Linked DNA regions of Macaca mulatta. The protein of the gene in region 5 purifies or fractionates together with the protein of the main gene of each other region. This does not show direct contact. Links are inferred from orthologs where the notes say so. Each region holds a gene or a part of one and is shown on either strand. Other genes may lie near its edges.

Region 1 (4,094 bases), on a different chromosome or scaffold from region 5:
CTGCTCTGGAGCTCGGGACTTTATGTTCAGATGTGATCCATGACAACGTTCTTTCTTAAAAATATCAACGCAAATCTAGTGAAAGACCAAGGCTGAGATTTCATCAGATCCCCCTTTCCCTTCCAGTTTAATATTATTCAACTGTTCCTTTTTAAGACTACAAGAAATCAAGACTTGTGCCTTCACCCAGCAATGAAGTGGCAATACGTAAATTAGATTTCACATTGTATTTTTCCCCACATTTTCATGTTTGTAACTTTCTCCCTGCCTATGTTCAGCCTTTCCGGCAGCCTGAGAATCACATGTAATGACTGTCAAAGTAAATGATCTGACGCACACATAAAAAAGAACCACTGGTTAAGAGTCAGCGTGTGTGTACAAACATGCAACTGTGATGCTCTCCCAGGTCAATCTCTCAAAACTCACAAAATCAGACAGAGACTGATGGTGAAGGAGGGCGGCCTGGGAGCAGCTATATACACAGAAAAGATCAAGATCTGAGAAGTAAAATGAAAAAAAGCTGCAAGAGAGTATTAAGGAGGAAAGAGTCTACTGTTTATCATGAAGGAGGAAAGAGCTAGGAATAGACTAGGTAGGAAGTGAAGAATCTGTGGAGGAAAAACCGCAACGGTAAAGAGAAAACAAAAACTCACCAAATTGGGAGGATAAAACGAGCCTCCTGCTCCAATTCCATGTTGTGGTTGTTTTTGTTTGTTTTGTTTTGTTTTTTTCCAGGAAGTTACAAAACAGTTTTCAACAGAAGGATTACATTAACAAAGCAAATAAAGGAAACTTATGCTAAAAATGTAGCCTACCTACACTGAGAAGTCTGAAAACGGAAATACTTCTTTCCCCTTTTTGTAAAGGGTTTCAAAACAGTAGGAACAGGGTAAGGGATAAGAGCTATAAGAGGGGGAGGTGAGTAGCCAAGCTCTTCCTGAATATAGACAGTCTTTCGACTAAATGCGTATTTTAAATTTACCTTTTTGTGGTCAGCTGGCAAACTCTTCACTGCACATAGCGTTTGACTCTCAATCAAAATGTGATGAGTGGTTCAGACACCATAGGAAATTCAAGAGCGTATGCAAACACAAGGCACATGCAGAACCAGGACTTGGTTTGGGTGGTACTCTAACACCCCCTCACTGGGTGGCTAAAACGCCACTAAGGTTTGAATTGTGACCAACAGTGAAATGGAAGAAAGAAAATAGCAAAGTTAAAGAGCCTACGTTTAGCCAGAAAACCATGCAATTAGCCGGAGAAGTTTGTGAACGGGCAGTAAGTGGAAAACAGCGGACACAAAGGGGCTAACTAGATAAACAGCCACTACAAATTCTGTCCGTCTTCCTTACGGGGTGCTACACAACGAGTCCCTTCTATACAGAGGAATGCTGCTTCTCAGCCTAGGCGGTTACAGTCGCAGGCAGGGACTGCCCGCCGAGAAGGGTCTGTCCAGCACAAACCCGCAGCACACACTTACTTTCGTCCGGCCATTGATTTTGTAGCTGCCCAGCTTCCCGTTACAGTGGCGGATCAGGTCGTCCATGCTGCTCATGAGCAGCCCAATGGTTTCGCAGCCGGGCTCCTTGCCCTCGATCCAGGTGATCTTATCGCCTCGGATATCCTTGGACGAGTCGCTCTTCTGGCTGACCAGCTGCCCGTCCGTGAACTTCCCGGTGTCGTGCAGGGCGCGCACCTCGTCGCCGATCTGCTGTCCGGTCTCCTTGCCGAGGAAGTCGTCCACCACACAGATGCCGTGCTTGTTCATGCACGGCACGATGTACTCGAGCGCCAGCTTCAGCGCCGGCAGGGGCTTCGTCTGCCCGTTGGGCCGCAGGCCGCCGCTGGGGCTCAGCGCATCCCCGGGCGTGTTGCTCGGGGGGTACAGGTTCGCCTTCTCCTGGAACAGCGATGAGCGGGCCGGCGGCTCCTCCTTCCCGGGCTCGGCCTCGGCAGCCACCGCCGAGCCCTGGCCGCCCGGGGCCGCGCGAGACGGCGACGCGGCCGCCGCGGGGTCGGCCGGGGGCTTGCCCTTTGCTTTTGCCTTGGCCGCGTCCCCGGAGGCGTTGTCCCGGCGCGCCGCTGCCTTCCTGGGCTCCCGGGCCCCGGCCCTGGGCGGCGGCGCTGCAACCGGCGGCGCGGGGCCGGAGTGCTGGTGCGGGCCCACTCCGGGGCCGAGGGCGCTCTCGCTGCCCTGGCACACGAGCTTGTGCTTCTTCCAGTCCTGACGCTGGTGCTCCTTGCAGCAGTAGAAGGAGCTGCGGCAGCGGCTGCAGCGCAGCAGGTTCTCCATCTTCCCGCACAGCTCGCAGTACTGCCGGTCTCGCTCGCTCGGGCTCGGCCCGCCGGGCCCGCCGCTGTCATTGGCCATGGCGGCGGCGGCGGCGGCGGCGGCGGCAGCGGCGGCGGCGGCGGCCGAGCAAGAGGGGTGGCGGCCGGACGGCCTCGCCCGAGGCTGGGGAGCGGGGAGAGAGATAGGGGCCGTTACTGCGCCATGTACCCACTACCCTCGCCTCAGGGAGGCCGGTACCCCGCGCCCTCGGCCCGGCCGCTTCCGAGTCCTAGTCTCCGGCGCAGCGCCGGCGGCCGCCTCAGCGCCTCATCGCTGCCGAGGGCTGAGAGAATGCGGCCTGTGCGGCGAATGGCAACCTGGACTCAAGCGCGCGGGCCTGGGGAGCGCAAGACCGGCCCTCTCCGCCGCCGCCGCCGCCGCCGCCTCAGCCTCCTCGGCGGCCCGGCCCAGGCTGTGGAGGAGCGTAGGGCATGCGGGCGCCACTCGCTCTGCGCGCTCTGCACGTACACCACGGCCCCGCGGCGACCCGGGCGGGCGGCGCGCAAGGGCGGAGGGGGCGGAGGGAGGGCCGGGGGGGAGGGCCGAGGGGCGGGGGCCGCCTGCGCTCCTCCGCACTCCGTGGGGCCGGGCCTCGGCCTCCGAGCTGGGTCGCCTGCACTGCCTCCGCCCAGGGCGGGACTGGGACGCGAGAGGCCGGTGCGCTACCTCAGCCTGCAGCGGCCTCCTTGGGGACGCCGAAGCGCAGGCCCGCGAGCTGCGGAAAGGCGTGGGGCAGCGCGGCAGCGCCTACACCTGCTGGGGGAGGGCGCCAGCCGCAAGCGGGTAGCGGAGCGGCGGCGGCGGCGTCGTAATCATGGCTGCTCTTCGTCGAGGCAGGCGCGGGGTGTGCGGGGCGCGCTCCAGTAAGGGTTGCAAGGTGGCTGTTGCTATCCTCATTTTGCAGAGGAGGAAACGGAAATTCAGAGAAGTGAAGTAACTTGTCCAAGGTCACGCAGAACTGGGACTGAATCCAGGAATCAGGCTCTCAGATTCCAAGGCTTTTTCCATTACACCATACAGTCTCTATTTCAAGAAGCCCTGAAATGGTTAAGAACAAAGTAAGTATTACTGTGGTGTTAATCCAATCTCTTGCGCCCCGTTTCAACCTAATTTAAAGGTAATGAAATTTGAGGATTTTAAAAAAATTAAAAACTCATTAAAACCTTTGAAATCCCGGTGACTTCAAAACTCCATGAAGAAATTTTGGGCTACCAAATTACATGAGGTAATCAATGCTCATTCCAATATCCAATTTAAACTGATGGAATTATTCCTGAAGAGTGAATTTTGGTGGTAAATGAGCAGTACTACATTAACAACTCTCACATTTATTTTTAATAGAATCTGTGCTGCGCGGATGAATACAATTCTTTGTTTTATAGAGCATAAAAACCTTACCAGAAATAAGCCAAAGATGTTTCTTTCTGCTGCTATTTATCTTAAGAATTAAAAGGCCTGTGATTTAGAGTTTAACAATCTTTATCGAACACTCTGGAAAATGCGGTGCTAGGCTTGTGTACCCCTTGAGTATACTGTAACTTTAGTCCTTGAAATGTAACCTTCCCAACTTACGAAAGCTGCAATATATATTTCAAAAGCAGGATATGAGGAATTTTTGTGAACCACATTGTAGAAGTTTAAAAAGAGGCTTGAATCCAAAAATATAAAACCTCTTCATCAAATATACAGAATTTAAAACTGTTAAAAAATTCTGCTGCATCCGTTTAATGGCATTCTGGGGATCCAATCAAGTGAGAGGATG
Region 2 (4,259 bases), on a different chromosome or scaffold from region 5:
TGTTCGAGGTCTAGAGAGCTTTTCAACCACAAATCTCCCCTCTTCTTTCACTCATAGAAAACCTAAATTCCAGAGAGTGAAACAACTTCCCAAAGAGCCCACAATCAGTGGTGGCTCTGGACCATTCATCCAGAATGAATTCAGGTGGTAAAGCTGGCCTAGGAAGAGAAAGCAGGCCAGAAGAGAAAGAGCTTAGTACACTTATTTTACCTACTTCTAAATATCCCAGACATTGCCTCTGGGATATCGGCAAGAATGGTACCAACACAAACAAATGTAAACAAACCATTATCTAACCTTCTAGTCCAAAGATACCTACCTGATTAATTTAACAAATACTCACTGAGTGCCTGCATTGTGCCAGGATCTTTGCCAGGCCCCCAAAGAAACATCACAGATTAAGACAGTCACTGCCCTCTAGGCAATTCCAATCTAGCCAAGATGCCAAAATTTCACACACAGAAAAACCAGCTGCCTGTTTAATTCTGTTTACTTTTTTTTTTTTTTTTTCCGAGACAGGGTCTTGCTTTGTCACCCCGGTTGGAGTGCAGTGGCATGATCTCGGCTCACTATATCCTCCACCTCCCAGGTTCAAGCGATTCTTGTGCCTCAGCCTCCCAAGTAGCTGAGACTACAGGTATGTGCCACCATGCCTGGCTAAGTTTGGTACTTTTAGTAGAGAGAGGATTTCACCATGTTGCCCAGGCTTATCGGGAACTCCTGAACTCAAGTGATCCGCCTGCCTCAGCCTCCCAAAGTGCTGAGATTACAGGTGTGAGCCACCATGCCTGGCCCTGTTTACTCTTTTTACTTTAAATAAAACAAAATAAAACAGTGCAGAAAGGAAGACCAATCCTTTTCCAAAAATAAGAGCACATTTTAACATCGTTACCTCAGAACCACCGCAAGTGACTCTTACCCTGAATCCACACTTTGCGTTTCACCAAACTGCAAGTCACAACCCATTTGTGGATTAGGAAATCAATATAAAGGTCTCAACAGCATTATTTTTTAAATGAAAATAACAGAAATTTTGAAATATCACAATACATCAAGAGTAGTAAAGCTAAGTACTGTTTTCTGGAGCTTTGTGTGTACACTTGGTTGTGTCATAAAATGTATTTGTTACTGTAGGTCACAGTCATAAAGGTTTGAAAGACACTGCTCTAAATAATTCATATCAACAGGCAGGGCACGGTGGCTCACGCCTGTAATCCCAGCACATTGGGAGGCCGAGGTGGACAGACAACGAGGTCAGGAGTTTGAGACCAGCCTGGCCAATATGGTGAAACCCTGTCTCTACTAAAAATACAAAAAAATTAGCTGCGCATGGTGGTGCGTGCCTGTAGTCTCAGCTACTTGACAGGCTGAGACAGAAGAAGCGCTTGAACCTGGGAAGCGGAGGTTGCAGTGAGCCAAGATCACACCACTGCACTCCAGCCTGGAGGACACAGCGAGATTCCATCTCAAAATAATAATAATAATAATAATAATAATAATAATTCGTATCATCTTCCTATTTGTAATCCTGAATTCAGAAAGTATTTCATGTTTGCTGAATGAACAGATATTCCATTTAGAATAACTGCTCATCAATTAGCCATTTTGCCTTGTGACATCTGTGTGCTCCTCCTTGATAATGACATTTCTTTCATTCTAATTCCACCAGTCTGTAATTCTATTCACTATATCTCCAGCAGCTGGCACAGGGCCTGGCACAGAGGAGATGCTAGGAAAAGGTTTATTAAATATGCATAGAACTCTGCAGTCTACCAACCTCTGTCACTGACAGCTCTGTGAGTTCCTCACAGTCCTGGAACACCTAAAGTCACATCCATCCACTTCTCTCCACCACCTCCCTAATGCAAGCTACCATCGTCTCTCACCCAGAGTGCTTGCTCCTCAATCCATTATCCACTCAAGAGCAGTAACCTTTTCAAAATACCAATCTAATCACATCACCACCCATGTCAGCTTCTGAGTGGTTTCCCACCTGGTTCTTGAAAAACCAAAATTCTTCCTATTACCTACAAAGCCTGCACGGTCTGACCCCTGGCAACCCCTTTAGCTTGTTTCACATCATGGTCCCCCACAAGCTCTCTGTTCCAGCCACAACGGCCTCTTTCAGACCCTGAAATTGGAGGCTCTCTCTCTTCAGATAGAAAACTCTTCCCTCCCCACTCGGTCAAATCCTTTTTTCTGATCGCAACTCAATATTCACCTCCTCAGTAAAGGTTCCTTGACCTGGGGCTAGATCAGGTCTCCTGTGATATACCGTGGGGTGCCTTGTACCATTCCGTTTCAATGATCACCACTGCAGTTTTGGATGTTTGATTGTGGGCTGTCATCGCCACAAGACTTGAGTCCTGCTGTATCCCTAGCACAGATTCGACGCCTAGTAAATATTTATTTAATACAAGTATGATATCCATTTGGTAAACGAGAAACAAAAGCTCAATTCGGGGAAAGACCTTACTGGAAGTCACGCAGAGAGTAGGGCAGAGCCACGTCGAGTGCAATCAGGGTCTCCGGCCCCCAGGCTCTAAAGTTAAGAAAAACGCGAAGTAACTCCGTGTGACCCGGGAAGCCCTGGTAACGGCTTCTCAGGAAGGGCCTCCAGAGACACCAGCGTCCCACAAGCAGAGAACCAGCCGCCCCAGCGAGGTGGGCCTAGTTCAAGGCACTCCGTGACTCTGAGCCGAGAAGAGGGGCGGCCCGGCCACACATACACAGGGAATCAGGAAAGGAAAAAGAGGCCAGGAGGCCACACTCACCGCCTCGCCCCACGTTCTGGTACCGCGGAAACGCACCGGAAGTTCTCCCGCTTTGGCGTCTGACTGGAGCCACGGGGAAAGCGGTCCGGCCGAGCCCTGGGTCGCGGGAAGAATGGCCCGTACCTGCAGGTTCCGCCGGATGCAATGTTGCCTTTTGCTATTCTTAGTTTCTCGTTTTAGCTTCTGAACTGTGAACAACTTTCATTAACCTTTGCATTTTATATCCCCTTCCAGAAACACAGACACCAGCCATCTTACTTTGGGCGCAAGCAGTCATGGTCACTAAAGCATAACCAAGACTTGTACCAATGGCTACTATTCAGTAGTAGCCAGTCAGGCGCTCGGTCACTGTCTTTGTCAGCCAGTCTCTATCCGGGTCACAATGTCTCAGCTTCCAGTCACACTCAGCCCTCGGGGAGAGCCTCAGAAACCCAGCCCAGAGAGAACCAGCGTCAGCCTCTGCTGCTGCAGGAGCAGCAGTCACCACCTCAGTCCCTCTGACCCTGCGTCCTTCCGGCAGGCCAAGTCCTAACGTCTTAGTCAGGCTATCAACGCTCGAGGGAAGAAGCTGCCTGTCTTGTTCCTCACTGTTTCCCTGGAACCGAGCACAAAGCCAGGCACAAAAGCTCAGCTGAGTACATATATTATGCATTTAATTAATAATGATGATAATTTGGTATTAATAAATCACTTCTATTTGTGAGTCTAACCCTGCACTATTAATCAGGGTTCCACCAAAGATGCAGAGCCAGTAGGAGATCTATATTAAGTGATTTATTGCAAAGAATTGGCTTATGTGATTTTAGGGCAGGCAACTTGGGTCTTTCTTTCTTTTCTTTTTTTTTTTCTTTGAGTCACAGTCTCACTCTGTCACCCAGGCTGGAGTGCAATGGCGCGATCTCGGCTCACTGCAACCTCTGCCTCCTGGGTTCAAGCCATTCTCCTGCCTCAGCCTCCCGATTACAGGCGCCTGCCACTATGCCCAGCTAATTATTTTATTTTTAGTAGAAACAAGGTTTCACCATGTTGGCCAGGCTGGTCTCGACCTCCTGACCTCAGGTGATCCACTGCCTCAGCCTCCCAAAGTGCTGGGATTACAGGGGTGAGCCACCACGCCTGGACTGCCTTCTTTTTTTGTTTTTGTTTTGCGATAAAGTCTTGCTCTTGTTGCCCAGGCTGGAGCACAGTGGTACATTCTCAGCTCACTGCAACTTCTGCCTCCCAGGTTCAAGCAATTCTCCTGCCTCAGCCTCCCTAGTAGCTGGGATTACAGGTGCACACCAGTATGCCCAGCTAATTTTTGTATTTTTAGTAGAGACCAGGTTTCACCTTGTTGGCCAGGCTGGTTTTGAACTCCTGACCTCAGGTGATCCACCCACCTCGGCCTCTCAAAGTATTGGGATTACAGGCGTGAGCCACCGCACCCAGCCCACTTGAGTATTTCTAATCCTTGCACTAACCCTAGTAAGGTATGTGTATTCCCAG
Region 3 (3,500 bases), on a different chromosome or scaffold from region 5:
TGAAACCCCATCTCCACAAAAATTACAAAAATTACCTGGGCATGATGGCGCACACCTGTAGCCCCAGCTACTTGGGAGGCTGAACTGGGAGGATCACTGAACCCAAGAGGCAGAGGTTGCAGTGAGCCAAGATTTGTGCCACTGCACTCCAGCCTGGGCGACAGAGCAAGACTGCCTCAAACAAAAAACAAAGAAAGAAAAAACTCTTTGATTGTTATTTCTATATTCTCACCTCCTTTAACAGATGAGGACAGTGAGGCTGGGAAAAAAGGCACTGGGAGCCATGCAGCTGCTACCCAATCTGAGCTGGCTGTGAACCTAGGCATCCTGAGCCCAGAGCCTGCCCCTCTAGCCCCTGCACTGGTGACCTCAGACCCTCTGCCTGCAGCCCACATGTAAAACAGGGATTTTTGTATCATACGCAACACTCATCTGTACTTGTGTAAATGAAAAGTAATTTCCATAAAACAATATTTATACACATTTGCTCCAAACAATGACCCGTTTTCTTTTCTCTATTTGACGAGGACAAAAGTGCTGAAGCTATTCAACTGATTGTGGCCCAGAAACAGTTACAAGCATGGATTGGGGGTTCAAGTCTCAGCTCTGCCACTTCCCTGCTGGGTGACCCTGGAGGAGGGACATCCCCTCTCTAGGCTTCAGGCTGAATTCAGGCTGAATTCAGGTGCACAAAGGGCTCCCAGCAGTGCTGGGCCCAGAGTGAGCAGACAGCTGAGGAAACTCAGGCTAAGGGGAGCTTCCTTGCCCAAGGTCAAGGTCACGTGTTTGCTCTGCTTCCCTGGCGAGCTCCTGGTCCAGCAGGAAACTCTAGCATCTGGCAAGCAGGAGGTCTAGTCTTGGGAAGATGAACTGCCCCAGGGCACACGGAGCCTGAAGAATTGTGCAGAAGGGAGCAGGGCTGGAGGCCTGCAGGCATGTGGATGGCCTGATGACAGGTAAGCCCTCAGGCTCATGTGGGGGTCCCCAATGCTGCTGGGAGAGCCCCCATGGGGAAATGGGCCATGACAATTTAGGTGCTGGGTGTTCTGTAAAAGGCTCTGAATTCCCCACCCCCTCAACCCTCCCTGCCATCTGCCAGGCCTGGGACATAGCTCAGACGTGGCATACCCACAAGATGGCTGAAGCCAACCAGTCCAGCCTCAGGGAGTATGCGGGCTTGGGCCCTAGACTGGGCCAGAGCCTTGAAAAGAGCTCCTGCTCCTTACCCTGGGGAAAGACGCTCCTGCAGCCCCACATGCGACGAAGACCCTGCCCGAAACCTGTCCTTGGGGCTCCTCTCTTCTGCCCCACTGTCTCCCCAGGCCCCCTTCTCACCTGGAGCCCTGCCCCAACCCAACACCGACTGTCCTTCTTGGTTACTCATTACTGAGCCCTGCAGCTCGTGACCTTTACTCAACCACGTCATCACAGCCACTGCCACCCAGAGGTGGCCACTCCTCCCGTCACCATTTTCTAGATTAGGACACCAAGAGACAATGAGGGAGGGGCCTGGTCAAGAATGGCTTGAGAGCCCAAGTTGGGAAGGCCTCTGCTCTGCTGTCCCTGCTCCAACCCTTCTAGGTGTCACCCTAACCCCCCGCCACATCTCTGCCCCCATCCTAACACGTGTCCCCTAGCCCCATGTTTGGCTCAAGCCTTCACCTGGCTTGAAGTCCACCCTCCACCCCAGCGGCCAATAGCCGGTCCAGTCATCTGAGCTGGCTCCACCGACTGCAGACTCCTGATTCTCAGCCCCACACCAACTGCAGACTCATGGCTCCCAGCTCCCTGGTTGCCCCTCCCTACATGACAGAAGCAGCTCCAAGTGTGATGGCTGCAACCGAAGGAGGGAGTGAAGTGTCTGTGTGTGGCGGCAGGATAACAATCCTCTCGACACACAAGACACACAGCCCCTGCTGCACCGTCCCCACGCGCAGGACAAACACACGTCCCCATCTCAGGGAGCGAACTCTGAGGTGGGAGAGACAAGGCCCTGAGGGCCAGACCTCCTGGGTTCAAATCCCAGCTCTGCCGCTAACCAGATGGGCAGGTGACTTCACCCCTTAGGGACTCAGTTTCCTCATCCGTGCAAGGGGAGTAATCCCAGTTCCCACGTCCCAGGGTGCTGCGATGATTCAGCCAGCCTCCCTGAAGGAAGGTGCAGAGCATACCTGGTGTGAAGGTGTGCGCTCGCTCTGCAGGGCCTCACGCATCAGGATTTTCATCAGGTGGCTGAGGGCACTAGAGAATTCTCACTGTGCCCTAGGTCCCCTCCCTCATCAGCATATCACACACATCCCGCCTGCTGTCCCTGGCAGCGTTATCACCCTTCCTGTTTTTTCTTTTTTTTTTTTTTTTTTTGAGACAGGGTCTCACTGTGTCCCCCAGGCTAGAGTGCAGTGGTGAGAGCACAGCTCACTGCAGCCTTGAGCTCCTGGGCTCAAGTGATCCTCTTGCCTCAGCCTCCTGAGTAGCTGGGACTAAAGGTGTGTGCCACCACGTTTGGTTTATTTTTGTATTTTTTGTAGAGATGAGGTCTCCTCCCCATGTGGCCCAGGCTTGTCTTAAACTCCTGGGCTCAAGCAATCCTCCCACTCTGGCCTCCCAAAGTGCTGGGATTACTGTCGTGAGCCACCGCGCCCGACTTCCCTTCCTCTTTCCTTCGAAGTGCAGATCCTCATCTGCAATTATTTTGCTAACCTATTCAGCGGTGGGTTTTCTGCCTGCCCCTGAAAGACAAGCTCTACCAGAAGAAGGGAGGCTGTGTGGCTCCTGTCCAGCACCGGCACTAACAATGACAGTCACCATCAGGTGAACCATCACAGGACGCGACCCTGCGCCGGGTACTGGTCTACTCATGTGAAAAGCAGAAGCTCACTTTTCCTCACAGCTGCCCTTCAGGCTGATCCTCTCGTTCTCCTCATTTCACAGATGCGGAAAGGAAGGTGCAGAGAGGCAGGGTAACTGGCCCAGGGTCACAAAGTGTGAGATGACTGAGCAGAGCTGTGGCCTGGGCCCAGGGCCCCACAGGCACTCGCTGGCTGGCTAAGTGGTGACTAGAGGCGTGAATGGCTCCTCACACCCATCCCCGCCAGCCTGGCCCTCGGTATCCGCCTGGCTCAGGTGCCAGGCCTGGCCCACTCCCCAGCTCACCGTCTCGTAGTCTCGCAGCGCGGCCCGGAACTTGCCCAGTGCCATGTTGCTGGCAGCCCGGCGGTAATAACCCTTGATGTATTTCTTGTCCAGCTCGATGGCCCGCGTGGCATCTCCCAGTGCGTAGCCATAGCACTCGGTGCGCAGGTAGGCCAGGCTGCGGTTGCCATAGTAGATGGCGTTGCTGGGGTTCAGCTCGATGGCCTGGCTGTAGAACTTGATGGCGTTCTCATAGTCCTTGGCTGCGGAGATGCAGGAAGAGGCATGAGGCAGTGCTCCAACCCCGCGAGGACAGGCCCCGGGCTGGGTGACGCCCAGTCTCCCTGTTCACAGACGGGGAAGCTGAG
Region 4 (4,220 bases), on a different chromosome or scaffold from region 5:
GAATTGCTCTGACCATAAGAATCCCATTCTGTTGAGACTTAAGACATTTTCCATTATTTCTCAATTTGTAGAATATACTTATTCCTACCTAAAGAAATCACTTTTCTTTCCTTCAAAAAAAAGTTAGATCCTGATACAATTAATATGACATGGAAATTCTTGCGTCGTTCATTTATCTTAAGCAATACTGTTTACGTTAAACTTCCGGCAAAAGAAAGGATAAGGGGTAGCTTTCTTTTGGGTGTGTGGGGCTGAGGCAGGCAGCAGATTTTGACCTGTATGTATGAACATTTGCAGAATTCTACTCCAATACTTTGAGGCCCTATGGAGGAAAACACACGTTCCTCTCATACATCTGGACAGACTGATTTGTCCTAGGTCATATACGAATTGTTGACAGAGAAACTGATGCTGAATCTATCAGATGATCTAACCACTAATACTAAACGATTCAGATTTCATAGAAATCATAAAGTAGGGTACACAGATATTTCTAATTGCGTAAGTATCATGGCTGTCATTTCTTCTGTATTATTTTAATTGATTTCAAAAAATTCTTTGGGGAAACAGAAAGGAAATAAACTATGGGTATTGACAGAAGTTCAGGGAAATCAAACAGAGAAGGGGTTTGCAAGTCGTAATAACACGCCATTGCAAGTTGCAGCCCTGGTGAGGGACCCAAGGCAACAGTGAATAACACTAATAAATGTCAATCAGAAAAATGCAGTAACAAAAAAGGCAGCAAACTGTCACATATGGCAGAATAATCCAGGCTGAATGCTTGTGAAGTTGCATCTCACTATCCACTAATGTTCTAAGGTTGGGAGTATGTGTAGTAGAAACAATTAGGAGACTTACGGCTAAACAGAAGCATCTCTCAGTTCTTCTAATCCCTTCTAAACCCAGAGGGATTTGATCTTTCATTCACTGGGGGCCAGGAACGGCAACTACCCATATAAAGTAAGCACCTACTATGTGCCTGGCATCCATGGTCTTAGGTGATGGCTTCCAGGAATTGCCAGGATCCCTGATGGAGGCTCCTTCGGTGCTGCCTGACCTGCTTTGCTCCTGCCACTGCAGACACCCACGCTGCTGCAGACTCCGAGCCACAGCAAGGCTCAGAAGATCAAGGGACCAGTCACAGCAGCCTTTTTAACTTTGGGAAAACCCAATGCTCACTTCACTCAAACGTTGCAAAGTGGTGCCATGACCCTTTAGCTCTTGGCTCACCAATTCAAAGAGCCACATCACATACAGCCCTTAAGCTGCCCACGGCATGATTCCGTGTCTAGTTCCTTTCCAGGTCCCCCCAAGCGGAAGACAGTTCTGGCAGGGAGTCTGGGCAAGATTACTACAATATTTAGCCTTTGTCCCTTCTTTTGCTACGTCTTATTGTAGAATAAGGCACACAGGTCTGAGAGATTGAGTATGCTGGACCTGAGACCTGTACTCAAAAGGTCCCTGCAGGACTGCAGGTCAGCTTAATCCAGCCCAGGAATCTCCATTTCAAAGATGAAGAAACTGAGGTTCAAAGAAAGCAAAACACGGTCTCTACTCAGAGTACTGGAAGGCCTGATATAAACTTAACCCCAAAGCCATGCCTCCTGCCTTAGTCAATTTACTGAGCACCTAACCAGTGAGAAACAGGCAGAAGTGAATGAGGCCAGATTTCACTCCCTTCACTACTGGTGTGAATGGATAAAGGTAACCCCACTTTCTCTCTGGGCTTTAGTTTTCTCATCTATTAAGTGAAAAACAGGATCGAATTGGTGATTTCTGATGTGCCTTTCAGCTCTGAAACTCTCATAAGAGTTGAGGATATAATTATATGTGTTGGTGTGTGCCAATGTATATGCATCATATATACAAACACAGGCACATATATACATATGGTATCTTGCAATTAAATACCGTTAGCAACCACACATCTTGCCCAATCCCTTACTGCGACCATGTCTTCCTATTTCCAAACCAAAACTGGACACTGCAACTCATCGTTGCAGCGCCTCAGAATCCAGGGCGTGTGGTCAGTGCTCACTGGCGTCCCTCCAAACACCCATGTAAGCGTACTTTAACACGTAAACGTACTTTACAAGACATATACTAAGTCATTAAATTCCTTGGAAGAAACAGCCAATTTGAAGCAGGGCTGGCCTGTGGGGAGCAGCATACACCGCAGGAAGTATAAGTTAAAGGTGACAGCCCGTGGCTGCCCAAATTTGGGGCTCCACTGCCAATGCACCGGGAGGGCAGTGAGTGCCCAGGCTTGGAACAAGCCTGGCTCGGAGCTCACATTTGAAGGCAGGAACCTGCACTCCCGAGTTTGCGCATCCTGCGTGAGCAACTGAAAACGTGCAGCGCAGGGCGTGCAGTGGGCACCGGTCCTGTTTCCTCTCGCACGTGGTGCCCGGCGTGAGGCTTCAGCGCGGGGCCTCCTCCCCTCCCCGCCTCCCACCCCGCCCTAGAGGCCGGCGCTAGGACCCCGCGAGCCGCACGCACTTCCTGGCGCCGCGATCCAAGCCTCCCGCTCGGCGCCCCCGGCTCCCGCCCGCCGCCGCCGCCCTACCTGGCGAAGCAGTACTCGCAGTGGTTGCCCCGCTCGTTGACCGTGAGCACGTAGGCATAGGCCGGGCAGGAGAACAGCAAGTCCCCCACCTGGAAGGGCTGCAGAGCCCGCAGCCCCCGGCCCTTGCCCGGGCTGCAGAAGCGCTCCAGGCCGCCGAGGCCCTCGGCCCTCATGGTGGCGGCGGGGCGCGGGCGCCGGCTGTGCCCGAGCTGCGGCTCCTGGCGAGCTGTTATTGGAGACGCGTCACCCAGAGCTGCGGGGGGCGGGGTGGGAGCCGCCCGGCGGACACGGCGGCGGCTCCCTGCTCCCCGGAAGGGACGGCGGCCCCGCCCGGGCCTCGCGCGCCCCCGCGGGGAGGGGGACGGGCCCGGCGGCCCCGCCCTGCGCCGGGACCCTCGGCGGCCGCCCCGCGCGCGCTCCGGGCCGTTTCCGGTGTGGCCGCGACAAAGAGCCGCAGCCCCTGTGGCTTCTGCGAGGAGGGCGTGAGGCGTGTGCGCCTCCGCGGCGTCTCCACGGAGCAAGCGGGACGCGCCCTCCTCGGTGGGAGGGGGGTCACCTGCGCGGAGCAGGTATCCCAGGGCCACCCCTAGACAGTCAGCCTGGCCCGAAGGATGACCACCAGCACCCGGTAAATAGAAGGGGGCGAAGCCGGCCCCCAAACCCTACGTTCACTTGCCCTTGTAAAGACCCCTGAAGGCAGTGATCGGGAACGCCAAGGAGAAAGCGGCAGAGGGGAAACCACAGTAGAGAATTTTGCTGTGCAGAGGGTTGACGTGTACTTTTCCAAGGTTAGAGGTTTTTAAACCTTGTGGCTTTAATGGGAACGTAGTTTGCCCTCTGCTCCTCTAGTAGAATTACATTGACGGAAGAGGAAATGCACTGGCCAGCCCAGCTCACCGAGTCTCTGCATGCTGCGAACGATGCAGAGGAAGCCAGAGATAACCTTGCCTTCAAGGAATTTAGGCTGTTGGGGGATAATGCGATGCTGTGGCCAGTGTCCAGGACACTGCGCTAGAGTTTGCAGTGGTTTTAATATGCTTGACCACCCACCAACTGTGATCTTAGAAAAGTCACTTGGGTTAGGAGTCAGAGGATTTAAAGCCCACAAAGCCTGAAACGTAAATCCTGTACACATGCACGCTATTACTTTTCATATGAGAAAGGAAAATATAATCCGTGTTCCACATGATTATGTAAAGACTGGAATTGACGTACATGCAGTAAAGACTAAAATTGTGACGAGATCATTTAGCAGAAAATACTACTTCAAACTAGAACCTCAAACAGTTACCTCTGTAAGTTCAGGACTGGTTTAGCAAGGGGAAAGGATGAATATGATTGGAGATGTAAAATCAGTGGAATTTTTGGCATTTCAGTAAAACAGCTTTCTCAGCTGGGTGTAGTGACTCAGCCCTGTAATCCCAACGCTGTGGGAGGCCAAGGTGGGAGGATCACTTGAGCCCAGGAATTGGAGAGTTGGAGACCAGCTTGGGCAACATAAAGACCCCATCTCTATGGGAAATTAACCACCTCTCAAGTGGTGCTGAGGTAGGAGGATTGCTTGAGCCTGGGAAGTCAAGGCTGCAGTGAGCTGTGATGACTCCATCATACTCCAGCCTGGGTGACAGAGCAAGACCTTGTCTCAAAAGAAAAC
Region 5 (3,500 bases):
CTCCAGAGGCTGAGGCAGGAAAATCCCTTGAACCTAGGAGGCAGAGGTTACAGTGAGCCAGGATTGCACCATTGCACTGCAGTAGTCTCAAAAAACAAAAACAAACAAAAAACAAAACAAACGGCCGGAGCGGTGGCTCAAGCCTGTAATCCCAGCACTTTAGGAGGCCGAGACGGGCGGATCACAAGGTCAGGAGATCGAGACCATCCTGGCTAACACGGTGAAACCCCGTCTCTACTAAAAAATACAAAAAAACTAGCCGGGTGAGGTGGCGGGCGCCTGTAGTCCCAGCTACTAGGGAGGCTGAGGCAGGAGAATGGCATAAACCCGGGAAGCGGAGCTTGCAGTGAGCTGAGATCTGGCCACTGCACTCCAGCCTGGGCGATAGAGTGAGACTCCTTCTCAAAAAACAAAAAACAAACAAAACAAACAAAAAATAAAACAAGCCTCAAGGATACTTCTCTAAGCCCAAACAGTAATAGCAAAAACAAAAAGTATGCAGAAACCAATTTTGGAGGAAATATTCTACAAAATGTAAATATACCTAGTCTATCTCACTGTTAAGAAAAACAGAGCTAATGCTTATTGCTAAAAAGAATACTTGGTATGTCTGCTTCCTCACAACTTAAATCTGGATTAAAGCATCAAGACTACTTACATTTGGATCAATACAGTGAAAAAGATCAATTTCATTTAAATGCTTAAAATTATCACTTCCTCCGAGACAACTGTATAAAATAATAAAGAAAGAATTAAGCCTCTTCAAAGAGACAAAGATTAATAATATCTTCAACGAAAAGACAAGCCAAGTTATTCAGTTGTGTGAATTACTATTTTACATCACTGGATAAAAAGCTTAACTTACCTGAATGTAAGTTTGGATTTTTCAAAATTTACATTAACATCCTTACTGTCTTCAACACAAAATTCAATGAAGACATAGTCCCTTCGATCGTACCACTTTGCAGAAGCAGGCTGCCTACAAAAGGATTAAAGTGGGGAAAGTCAAGCTGGAATTCATTAATTAAACATTTACATACTAACCTTCGACACTATTATAGCATTATTTCAGGGCAGTTCATTACAATTTTAAACAAAAACTACATTTTTACCCTAACAGCTACATTCCAAGTTAAAACCTAAGGGTCTAACAAGATTTAGTTTCAGAATGATTCCAATTTCATAGTAGGAAGGATTCAAAAACCAAACAATGCTTAGTAGTGTTAGCCATTTATCTAGTCCTATCAAAAATTATGTTACTTGGCTGGGTGCAGTGGCTCACACCTGTAATCCCAGCACTTTGGGAGGCCAAGGCAGGTGGATCACTTGAGGCCAGGAGAGCTAGAGACCAGCCTGGCCAGCATAGCAAAACTCCGACTCTACTAAAAATACAAAATAAATAAATAAATAAATAAATAAATAAAATTAGCTGGGCATGGTTATGCGGCCTGTAGTCCCAGATACTTGAGGGTTGGGACTGAGGCACAAGAATAACTTGAATCCGGGAGGTGGAGGTTGCAGTGAGCTGAGATCATGCCACTGCATTCCCAACTGGGCAACAGAGACTCTTGTCCCAAAACAACACCAAAAAAAACTGGTACATCAGAGCTTTACTTTTTAAGTTCACTAAAACCAGGAGAATGAATCTCCTTTCCTCAAATTAAGCAATCTAGAATTTTATCAGTTTCCTCAAAATTAATACATTGAAGTCCTAACCCCCAGTACACCTTAAGAATGTGATTATATTTGGAAATAGCATCTTTAAGTTACAATTAAGTAAATATGAGGTCTTAGGGTAGACCCTAATCCAATGACTGTTGTTCTTCTATACGAAGAGATTAACACAGAGGGAAGAAAGAAAATAGCTATCTGCAAACCAAGGAAACAAGGAAAGGACTGCTGACACCTTCGCCTTGGATTTTCAGCCTCCTGGAAATGTGAGGAAATAAATTTCTGCTGTTTAAGCCACCCAGTGTGTGATACTTTCTTATAAAAGCCTTAGCAGGCTGAGGTCGAGAATTCAAGACCAGCCTCACCAACATGGAGAAACCCCGTCTCTACTAAAATCATAAAAAAGTAGCCGGGCGTGGCGGTGAGCGCCTTAAGTCGCAGCTACGTGGGAGGCTGAGGCAGGAGAAAGGTGTGAACCCGGGAGGCAGAGCTTGCAGGGAGCCGAAATCAAACTACTGCACTACAGCCTGGGCGGCAGAGCGAGACTCCATCTCAAAAAAAAAAATTAGCCGGGTGTGGTGGTGCATGCCTGTAATCTCAGCTTAAGAGGCTGAGTCAGGAGAATCGCTTGAACCTGGGAAGTGGAGGGGTTTCAGTGAGCTAAGATCGTGCCATTGCATTCCAGCCTGGGCAACAAGAGTAAAATTCTGTCGGCCGGGCGCGGTGGCTCAAGCCTGTAATCCCAGCACTTTGGGAGGCCGAGGCGGGCGGATCACGAGATCGAGACCATCCTGGCTGACACGGTGAAACCCCGTCTCTACTAAAAAATACAAAAAAAAAAAACTAGCCGGGCGAGGTGGCGGGCGCCTGTAGTCCCAGCTACTGGGGAGGCTGAGGCAGGAGAATTGCGTGAACCCGGGAGGCGGAGCCTGCAGTGAGCTGAGATCCGGCCACTGCACTCCAGCCTGGGCGGCAGAGCGAGACTCCGTCTCAAAAAAAAAAAAAAAAGAAATTCTGTCTCAAAAAAAAAGAAAAAGAAAAAAGGGGGGGGGGGCCACAGCACGGTGGCTCATGCCTGTAATCCCAGCACTTTCGGAGGCAGAGGCAGGTGGATCACGAGGTCAGGAGTTCAAGACCAGCCTGGCCAATATGGTGAAACCCCGTCTCTACTAAAAATACGAAAATTAGCGGGGTGTGGTCGCATGCGCCTGTAGTCCCAGCTATTTGGGAGGCTGAGGCAGGCCAATCAGCTGAAGTCAGGAGGTGGAGGTTGCAGTGAGCCAAGATCACACCACTGCACTCCAGTCTGGGTGACAGAGCGAGACTCTGTCTCAAAAAGGAAAAAAGCCTTAGCAAGCTTATAATCACGTCCCAGATAATAAAACAAATTTAAATTATCAAAACCTGTGGTTAGGCCATGAGCCAAAAATGATTCCTACATTTTTTAAATATTAAAAAACAAAACAAAACAAAAAAAACAAACCCGGGAGGCAGAGATTGCAATGAGCCAAGATTACACCACTGCACTCCAGCCTAGGCAACAGAATGAGACCAAAAAAAAGAAGAATGTGAATGAGAGAGGTATTTGTGGCCTGCAAAGCCTAATATTTACTGGCTGACCCTTTATACAAGTTGGCTAACACATTAAAACTACAAACAGGGTCGAGTGCGGTGGCTCACGCCTGTAATCCCCAGCACTTTGGGAGGCCAAGGTGGGTGGATCACCTAAGGTCAGGAGTTCGAGACCAGCCTGGCAAACACGATGAAACCCTATCTCTACTAAAAATACAAAAAATTAGCTGGGCGTGGTGGCGGGCGCCTGTAATCCC
Region 6 (4,090 bases), about 60 Mb from region 5:
GCACTGGGGGGAATCTTTGGAGGACTGCCTGCTGAACCGTAGGCATATTCTGGTTTGCAGGTGATGTGGCACACCTCCCCCACCTTCATGGTTGCTATGGCAATGTCCCAAGCCTTGATGACCTCCCCTGCAGGTACAGAGGCAAACAGGACCACTTTAGCAGGGTTCTGATTCTGGGCTCAAACAGTGCTTCTGAAGAGTTAATGCACCACACTCATGGGGAAGCTGAACATCCTTTAGAAATGGGACCAGAAGGTGAGATACCTGGTTGCATTAAGTGCTACCAGGTCTAAGAACTGTAAAAGATCACCTGACCCTGAACAAAAGAGTTTAAGATGCAAGACAGTCCACCTTTGAAGGGGGAGTAAGGTGTTGGGAGGTGATGAGGAGAAGGGGAGACAAAGATCAGTATAGTTACAGAACGGTAGAAAAAAAAAGAGTGACCGAAAGAGTTAACAGACTGTGATAAACCATTCCTCCCTGAGCTTGGTCCTGAGAAAATGGTTTCTGCTTGTGACAGCTTGTGTCCACCTCGAACCTATCCTACCAGCCCACTGACCACGCCTACCTTTTCCCAGGTCAAAGGAGAATTTGTCCTTGCGATCCAGACTGGAGTCAAACTTTGTGCCATCTAATAGCCAGCCAGTATAGTGGACAAAGACTCGGTCCCCAATCATGGGCATCTCTGTACCTGTGCCCTCTCTCTTGATGACCTGGGAGGAAGGGGGAGAAAGTGAGTAACCCAGGGTTTGGGGCCGAAAGGGGCACCAACACTGCCTGCAAGCCTCCAGAGGGAACATAAAGGGGCTTCTCTGGGTTCATCCTCCTCTGCCTACTTGTCCCTCCAGATTCAGCTACTAGCAACTTGACTTAGGAGTCAACTAACCTCCCTGTCTTTCTTCAGGTACAGCAAGACTTGGTTTGAAAAAGGAGACAAAAGGCTGAGAGATTTGAGTTCAAGTTTCCGCTGTATGGATAAGTTTTAAAAATTCTCCACACCTTATTTGTAAAGCAGTGATGATAATCCCTATCTCCTACAGTTTGTTGGAAGATTAGACCAGTAAAGGGTTGAATAATAGATCATTATTATCATCGACAAAGGGGGAAGTATTTATGCCACACTTCCTCCTTCTTCCTTCATGCCAGTGGTCATCAGATTAAGGTCTGGTTTGGAGACAGGAGAACGAGAGGAGTATGAGTGAAGAGAACAGAAACAGTTCAAAACAGGTAAGGAAGAAACCAGGTTATAAGTGAACCCAGAGGCTCTCCATGGGACCTTAAACTCTGACTTGGGAGCGGAGTATTCCTCACTGGTAGGCTGTTTAAGACCAGGGCTGGAGTTATTTCCCAGCAACGCACAGGTTCCTTTAGCGCCACCTGGTAGGTGTGTGGTTACCCTCTAAGGGAAAGCTTCCATGGAGAATGGACAGGGTCTTGGAGGAGTAGAAAGGTAAAAGGGAAGGAATGGCGGATCAAAGGGGAAATGACCCTTCCCGGAATAACAATCTCATAGAAAACAGCAGGACGCTGGAGCGAGAAGGGGAAGCCACATGCCACAGGAGAGCCGCTGGAGCAGACGCTCGAGGTCCCCAATAATCTGGTGCAAAGACAGATGCACTTCTGGACCAGCTAAAGGCCCCCTGAGGCGGGTGCCACACACGCGGAGCTCAGCGGTGGGAAGCCAGGATGAGGAGGAGCAGCGGATGGGGAGAAGGCATAAGACGCGGGCTGGGAATTCCTCTCCGGACTCTCCCCGGAACCTGCTCCGACCCATGGCAGGTTGTCCTGGCCCAGGTCAAGATGCCCTCCCCACAGCTCCCCAGGCTATTTGTAGTCGAGCGGTCACTCGGCGGCAGGCTCCACAGCAGAGCGCCTCCTCTCCGCCCCACACCCCGCAGTCCCGGCTCGGGGAGGCGGCGGGGGGGAGGGGACTACAGCTCCCGGCATGCCCCGCGCCCGGCCTCCCCGGGGCCGAGGGAGGGGGCGCCGCGCGCGGCGAGTGGGGACCACGCTGGGTCCCGGCGTCGCCAGGGGACCCCGGGAGGGCGCCGGAACCCTGTCGCGCCTGCGTCGCACAAAGGCCGCCGGGCCAGGAAAGCACTGTGGGGAGTCGCTCCCCGTCCTGGCCCGTGTTCCACCGCCCGGGTGGGCGAGCCCTGGCACCGCCACTAACGAGGCGGCCCCCGCGGCTGGCAGCTCCGCTGGGGCCGCGGGGGTCGGGGGCGGCGTGGCGCGGGAGGCCCGGCCTGGCCCCGGGCTGCGGCTCGCGTGCCCGCGGCGGTCGCCCCGCCCCTCTCCGCCGCCCCGCGCGCGCCGGGGTGGGCACTGCAATCCGGACCCCCTGCCCCGGCCCGGGCGCTGGGGACTGGGGAGCCTGGGGCCTCGGCCCGCGCACCTAGGCCGCCCTCCTGCTGAGCGCATGGTCGGCCTCGGTGCCTCAAACGACGCAGCCCGGTACGGGACGGCGATGCCACCGGCCCCCGGCAGGACGGCCGCGAGGCTGCAGAGGCGGCCGCCTCGACCCGTGCCCGGCCGCGGGCTCCGGGCTCGGCGGAAGGGCGGCCCGCAGGGCCCCAGGTTCGGCCGCCCCCGCAGGCCCCGCCGCCCCTCACCTTCAGCACGCCTTCGTCCTGTTTGGGGCTGATGTCCACTCCCTCAATGGGCAGCGGCGCCGACTGCGCCCCGCTCTCGGCCGCCTTCATCTCCTCGGCTGTCATCTCCGCGCGGCGCGCCGTTTCTCCGGGAGCTGGCACCGGCGCGAGCGCACCCTGGGCCGCTGGCGGGGGCGCTACCTGCGGCGCGTGCGGGAGGCCGGGCGCGGCGGCACTGACTGCGGACCGCGAGGAGGCTCGAGCACCTCTGCACGCGGCGCGGGAGCGGGGGTAGGTGGGTCAGGAGCCGCTCGGGGAGCGATTGGTCCCGCCCCGCCGCGAGGGAGGGGCTGGGAGGAGCGGGAGCGCGGACAGAGGGGGCGGGGTGCAGAACTTTCTAGAGACGGCGGGACTGAGCCGGTTCGGGCTGAGTGCTGCGGGCGCTTCAGAATCTTTTTTCTTTTTTTTTCTGGTTCTTGCCTCCTTCTGGCTGCCTGCCCCCTCCCCCTTCTCCGGGGACCCTCGGACTCTGGGGAGTCTCCCCAGCGGCCTCCCCTGGCCCTTCCTCCCTCCCTCCCATCCCCGCCCGCTTCCCTGTCTAACCGGATTCTTCCAGATTCTTCTCGATCGATCTCCCGACATCACTCCACCAGTCCGCTGCGCCTGCGGCGATGTGTGGGGAGCGCTGGCGGCGGGATGGCAGTGGCGGCGCCCCCTCCCCGGGACGGGCCGTCACCACGGGCGGCGTGGTCTCTCCGCTATGACCCGCGTAGACCCTTCCCTACCTGGGGGAAAGAGGGTGAGGGCGTCCGGGGAGGGGGGAGTGAGCGGACAACGCTGCCCCGCTGCCGAGAGCCGGGGAAAGCGACCTCGATTTCCCCAGAGCCGGGAAGCCCGGGTCACGCAGCGGTGCCTACCCCGGCGCCTGCAGATGCTGCGAGCAGCGGGGTTGGCGAGGCATGGCCCGCCCAGCTCGGAACTCAGACGGGGCGCGCACTCAGGGGACCCTTCCCGGCGGTAATACAGCTGCCGTTTCTGCGAATGCTTACACACGTGGGTGCCCCTCACGAGAAAAGTCACTCGGTTTTCCAGAAGGAGTCTTTTCCTCTCAATGTTTGTTTCCCGAGTGGTTTTCGACAGCCTGTGGAGCGCGCAACTGCCCGTGTCACCTAAGCCATGGTCGTGGGACCTACAAAGCCATCTAGAGAGGGGCCTGGTTTTGGTCAGCACCTAACCCCAGTTTAGCATAGTGCCTGGTGAGTGGTGTCCAATAGTTACTGGCTGCATGAATTTTCCTTTTTTAAATTAACTTTTCCAAGTCTTGGCTGACTTTTTTTCTTTCTTTCTTTTTTTTTTTTTTTTTTTTTTTTGAGACAGGGTCTCACTCTGTCTCCCAGGTTGCAGTGCAGTGGTGCGATCTTGGCTCTCTGTAGCTGGGACGACAGGTGTCCACCACCGCACCCACTAATTTTTGTATTTTAGTTTCGCCATGTTGCCCA
Region 7 (3,151 bases), on a different chromosome or scaffold from region 5:
TGAGATAGAGGAACTTCAGAGGATACCCAGAATGGCTGGCTTCACAGTGAAGAATGGGGAGGAACAGAGCCCAGATTTTCCATATAATCTCTCCCACTGAGGTTCAGAAAGGAGTAAAGGTGAGGGGTGAAAGGTCAGGGTTCACTCATTCACATCACAGGTCTGAAAGAGTATCCATTGTGTGCCAGGCCCTGCTTTAGGCACTGGAGGTACAGTAAGAACAAGAGAAAGTCTCAGCCCTGGGGGAGTTTCTTTCCTAAATGGGTGGAACAAATACAGACAGCAACCAAATACATGATGCGCCAGCAGCCCTTATAGTTCTTCCTCTTGAGGTTGGAGGTAAAGGCCCGCCCTCAGTGCCCACCCCTCACCCTGCCCTGCAGGTATTGCCTGATGTGCGGCTACTGCCTCGGAGGCTGCCCCTGGCCTTCCGAGATGCAACCTCAGCCCCGCTGCGTAAGCTCTCTGTGGACCTCATCAAGACCTACAAGCACATCAATGAGGTGGGCAGGGGCTGGGGGATCCTGGGCTGGGTGCCGAGGGTCTTGGCTGCTGGCATGAGTCACTCACCAGTCCCCATCTCCTGGCTGGCTGGCTGGGCAGGTATACTATGCGAAGAAGAAGCGGCGGGCCCAGCAGGTGCCACCCCAGGATTCGAGCACCAAGAAGGAGAAGAAGGTCCTGAACCATGGTTATGATGACGACAACCATGACTACATCGTGCGCAGTGGCGAGCGCTGGCTGGAGCGCTATGAGATTGACTCGCTCATTGGCAAAGGCTCCTTTGGCCAGGTGTGGGACACCCCCCTCTCCCACCCTGATCCAAGGCCCCACTAACATTGACCACATACCCAGTGGTTCAGTGGCTTCAAATCCCATGCTGGGCCACTCACCCTAGCCCACTTAGTTTCCCTGTGCCTCAGTTGCCTTTTCTGTAAAACAGTTTAAATAACAAGACTCAACATAAGGTGGTATGTTATTTCACGTCCAGCGTTTCCACCAGTGCCTGACTAATGGTGTGCACTCAACTGCGAAGTATGCATAGTGTTCTCGGTGGGCCTCCTTGCCTGGAGGGAGGAGAATGGTGCCTGGCTCTGCCCTGCCCCCACCCCTTTCTTCTTGACATGCCCTGCCCCAACAGGTGGTGAAAGCCTATGACCATCAGACCCAGGAGCTTGTGGCCATCAAGATCATCAAGAACAAAAAGGCCTTCCTGAACCAGGCCCAGATTGAGCTGCGGCTGCTGGAGCTGATGAACCAGCATGACACCGAGATGAAGTACTACATAGGTGAGGCCCGGGACTGGCAGGGCTGTGGGCACCTGGGATAGTGGGAGCTGGAGCCAGTAGGGATGGGTCACACCCCTGCCCCACCCTCAGGAGGAGGCTGACATCTTCAGAGCAGGGTTTGATCTGTGCTTCACTGACATCAGTGATTCTCCTGCTGCTTTTATGGTTTTTGTCCTATTTACTTGGTAGTGGTCAGAGGTTACTGAGTGCTCACCAACGGCCAGGCTGTCTTGGAAGCACTTTATGTAAGTTAACTCACCACAGCCCATAAGGGGAAGGGCATTATTACCAACATCTTGAAGAAACAAAACCCGGGCTTCCATCCTAGTTTCTTCTTCAATAAAACAAACAAAAACAAACAAAAAAAATGGGCTGGGTGCGTGGCTCACGCCTGTAATCCCAGCACTTTGGGAGGCCGAGGTGGGTGGATCATGAGGTCAAGAGATGGAGACCATCCTGGCCAACATGGTGAAACCCTGTCTCTACTAAAAATATGAAAAAATTAGCTTGATGTGGTGGCACGCGCCTGTAGTCCCAGCTACTCGGGAGGCTGAGGCAGGAGAATCGCTTGAACCTTAGAGGCGGAGGTTGCAATGAGCCAAGACCATGCCACTGCACTCCAGCCTGGTGACAGAGCGAGACTCTATCTTAAAAAACAAACAAACAACCAAACAATAATAACAACAAAAACGAAGAAAGGAAAAAAGAAACCCAGGGATTCAAGTGCTGTCACTTGCATGAGGGGGCAGTTTGTACTAATTGAGCTATAATTTGATGAGGCCGTGGACTCCAGAGCTGTTACTCTTAACATCTGTGCCAGTCTTTCTCCTCCCTTAAACTGATTCCTCTTAATGGACATAAACATCACAACATAATCATAAACAGCAAGTGGATTTTAAAATGGTTTCGTTTGAAAGGAAAATGTACATCCTTAAAGTAGATGGAAAACTAGTGTCCTTTGCCACAAAAATGAATACAAGGGAGATGAAAGCAGTGTTACGAAATTAAAGGAGGAAGTGTAGAATGTGTTAGAGCTAGTAGTAACTAATGAAACTTTCTCGTTTGTTTAATTGGAGGGTTTGACAGAGACTTGGAAAGAGCGTTAACTTCCTGTGTGAACCTAGTTGTTTGTTAGATAAAAAGATCTTGACTAGCAGATGGTACCCGTGGGCACAGCACATGTGGCTAGTGATCAAAGAGTGTTGTATGACCCCAGGCCACCACCTGCCCTCTCTGAGCCATTTTTTCTCTGGCCCATTTTCTCCCCTCCCTCGCAGTGCACCTGAAGCGGCACTTCATGTTCCGGAACCACCTGTGCCTGGTGTTCGAGCTGCTGTCCTACAACCTGTATGACCTCCTGCGCAACACCCACTTCCGCGGCGTCTCGCTGAACCTGACCCGGAAGCTGGCGCAGCAGCTCTGCACGGCACTGCTCTTTCTGGCCACGCCTGAGCTCAGCATCATTCACTGCGACCTCAAGCCCGAAAACATCTTGCTCTGCAACCCCAAGCGCAGCGCCATCAAGATCGTGGACTTCGGCAGTTCCTGCCAGCTTGGCCAGAGGGTACGGGGCAGCCCGGTCCTGGGAGCAGGGCTAGTGGTTTGGGTGAGGCAGGGCCAACAGGAGGCTTAGGGGCGGGGCTTGGCTGGGATGGGATTATTAGGAACTGCTGGAAGTGAAGGATAGTGCTTGGGGTGGGGGTGTGGATGTACTGCCCACTAGGATGGGGAGGGTGAAGCCTGAGGGGGCAGGGCTCGTTTTGAAGCTGCCAGATGTGAACAGGGTAAAGTTGGGTTGGGTTTGAGCCCTGGGTGCTGCTTTACTAAGTTTTTGTGTTCTGTGTTCTTAAAGCCGGGGATGG

What was found.
Region 1: the proteins of PTGES3 (region 5) and EGLN1 purify together in Homo sapiens (affinity purification with mass spectrometry; 5 studies listed by BioGRID and IntAct, with this or other methods). This does not show direct contact. The link is inferred for Macaca mulatta from reciprocal best matches to the Homo sapiens genes PTGES3 and EGLN1.
Region 2: the proteins of PTGES3 (region 5) and AAR2 purify together in Homo sapiens (affinity purification with mass spectrometry; 3 studies listed by BioGRID and IntAct, with this or other methods). This does not show direct contact. The link is inferred for Macaca mulatta from reciprocal best matches to the Homo sapiens genes PTGES3 and AAR2.
Region 3: the proteins of PTGES3 (region 5) and PPP5C purify together in Homo sapiens (affinity purification with mass spectrometry; 5 studies listed by BioGRID and IntAct, with this or other methods). This does not show direct contact. The link is inferred for Macaca mulatta from reciprocal best matches to the Homo sapiens genes PTGES3 and PPP5C.
Region 4: the proteins of PTGES3 (region 5) and SMYD2 purify together in Homo sapiens (affinity purification with mass spectrometry; 3 studies listed by BioGRID and IntAct, with this or other methods). This does not show direct contact. The link is inferred for Macaca mulatta from reciprocal best matches to the Homo sapiens genes PTGES3 and SMYD2.
Region 6: the proteins of PTGES3 (region 5) and FKBP4 purify together in Homo sapiens (affinity purification with mass spectrometry; 3 studies listed by BioGRID and IntAct, with this or other methods). This does not show direct contact. The link is inferred for Macaca mulatta from reciprocal best matches to the Homo sapiens genes PTGES3 and FKBP4.
Region 7: the proteins of PTGES3 (region 5) and DYRK1B purify together in Homo sapiens (affinity purification with mass spectrometry; 3 studies listed by BioGRID and IntAct, with this or other methods). This does not show direct contact. The link is inferred for Macaca mulatta from reciprocal best matches to the Homo sapiens genes PTGES3 and DYRK1B.

Annotation. Positions count from the first base shown.
Region 1 is NC_133406.1:17,609,915-17,614,008, reverse strand, and holds the start of EGLN1 (egl nine homolog 1), read right to left. Parts: upstream 2,801-4,094; 5' UTR 2,372-2,800; coding exon 1,481-2,371; intron 1-1,480. UniProt on the Homo sapiens protein: Cellular oxygen sensor that catalyzes, under normoxic conditions, the post-translational formation of 4-hydroxyproline in hypoxia-inducible factor (HIF) alpha proteins.
Region 2 is NC_133415.1:89,072,301-89,076,559, reverse strand, and holds the start of AAR2 (protein AAR2 homolog), read right to left. Parts: upstream 2,801-4,259; 5' UTR 2,222-2,800; intron 1-2,221. UniProt on the Homo sapiens protein: Component of the U5 snRNP complex that is required for spliceosome assembly and for pre-mRNA splicing.
Region 3 is NC_133424.1:58,852,597-58,856,096, reverse strand, and holds part of PPP5C (serine/threonine-protein phosphatase 5), read right to left. Parts: intron 3,396-3,500; coding exon 3,154-3,395; intron 1,744-3,153; exon of another isoform or gene 173-1,743; intron 1-172. UniProt on the Homo sapiens protein: Serine/threonine-protein phosphatase that dephosphorylates a myriad of proteins involved in different signaling pathways including the kinases CSNK1E, ASK1/MAP3K5, PRKDC and RAF1, the nuclear receptors NR3C1, PPARG, ESR1 and ESR2, SMAD proteins and TAU/MAPT.
Region 4 is NC_133406.1:71,982,662-71,986,881, reverse strand, and holds the start of SMYD2 (N-lysine methyltransferase SMYD2), read right to left. Parts: upstream 2,801-4,220; 5' UTR 2,740-2,800; coding exon 2,567-2,739; intron 1-2,566. UniProt on the Homo sapiens protein: Protein-lysine N-methyltransferase that methylates both histones and non-histone proteins, including p53/TP53 and RB1. Specifically trimethylates histone H3 'Lys-4' (H3K4me3) in vivo. The activity requires interaction with HSP90alpha.
Region 5 is NC_133416.1:63,846,373-63,849,872, forward strand, and holds part of PTGES3 (prostaglandin E synthase 3), read right to left. Parts: intron 980-3,500; coding exon 866-979; intron 729-865; coding exon 659-728; intron 1-658. UniProt on the Homo sapiens protein: Cytosolic prostaglandin synthase that catalyzes the oxidoreduction of prostaglandin endoperoxide H2 (PGH2) to prostaglandin E2 (PGE2).
Region 6 is NC_133416.1:3,691,458-3,695,547, reverse strand, and holds the start of FKBP4 (peptidyl-prolyl cis-trans isomerase FKBP4), read right to left. Parts: upstream 2,801-4,090; 5' UTR 2,718-2,800; coding exon 2,613-2,717; intron 714-2,612; coding exon 569-713; intron 128-568; coding exon 1-127. UniProt on the Homo sapiens protein: Immunophilin protein with PPIase and co-chaperone activities. Component of steroid receptors heterocomplexes through interaction with heat-shock protein 90 (HSP90).
Region 7 is NC_133424.1:50,957,804-50,960,954, reverse strand, and holds part of DYRK1B (dual specificity tyrosine-phosphorylation-regulated kinase 1B), read left to right. Parts: intron 1-383; coding exon 384-503; intron 504-603; coding exon 604-792; intron 793-1,141; coding exon 1,142-1,289; intron 1,290-2,566; coding exon 2,567-2,853; intron 2,854-3,151.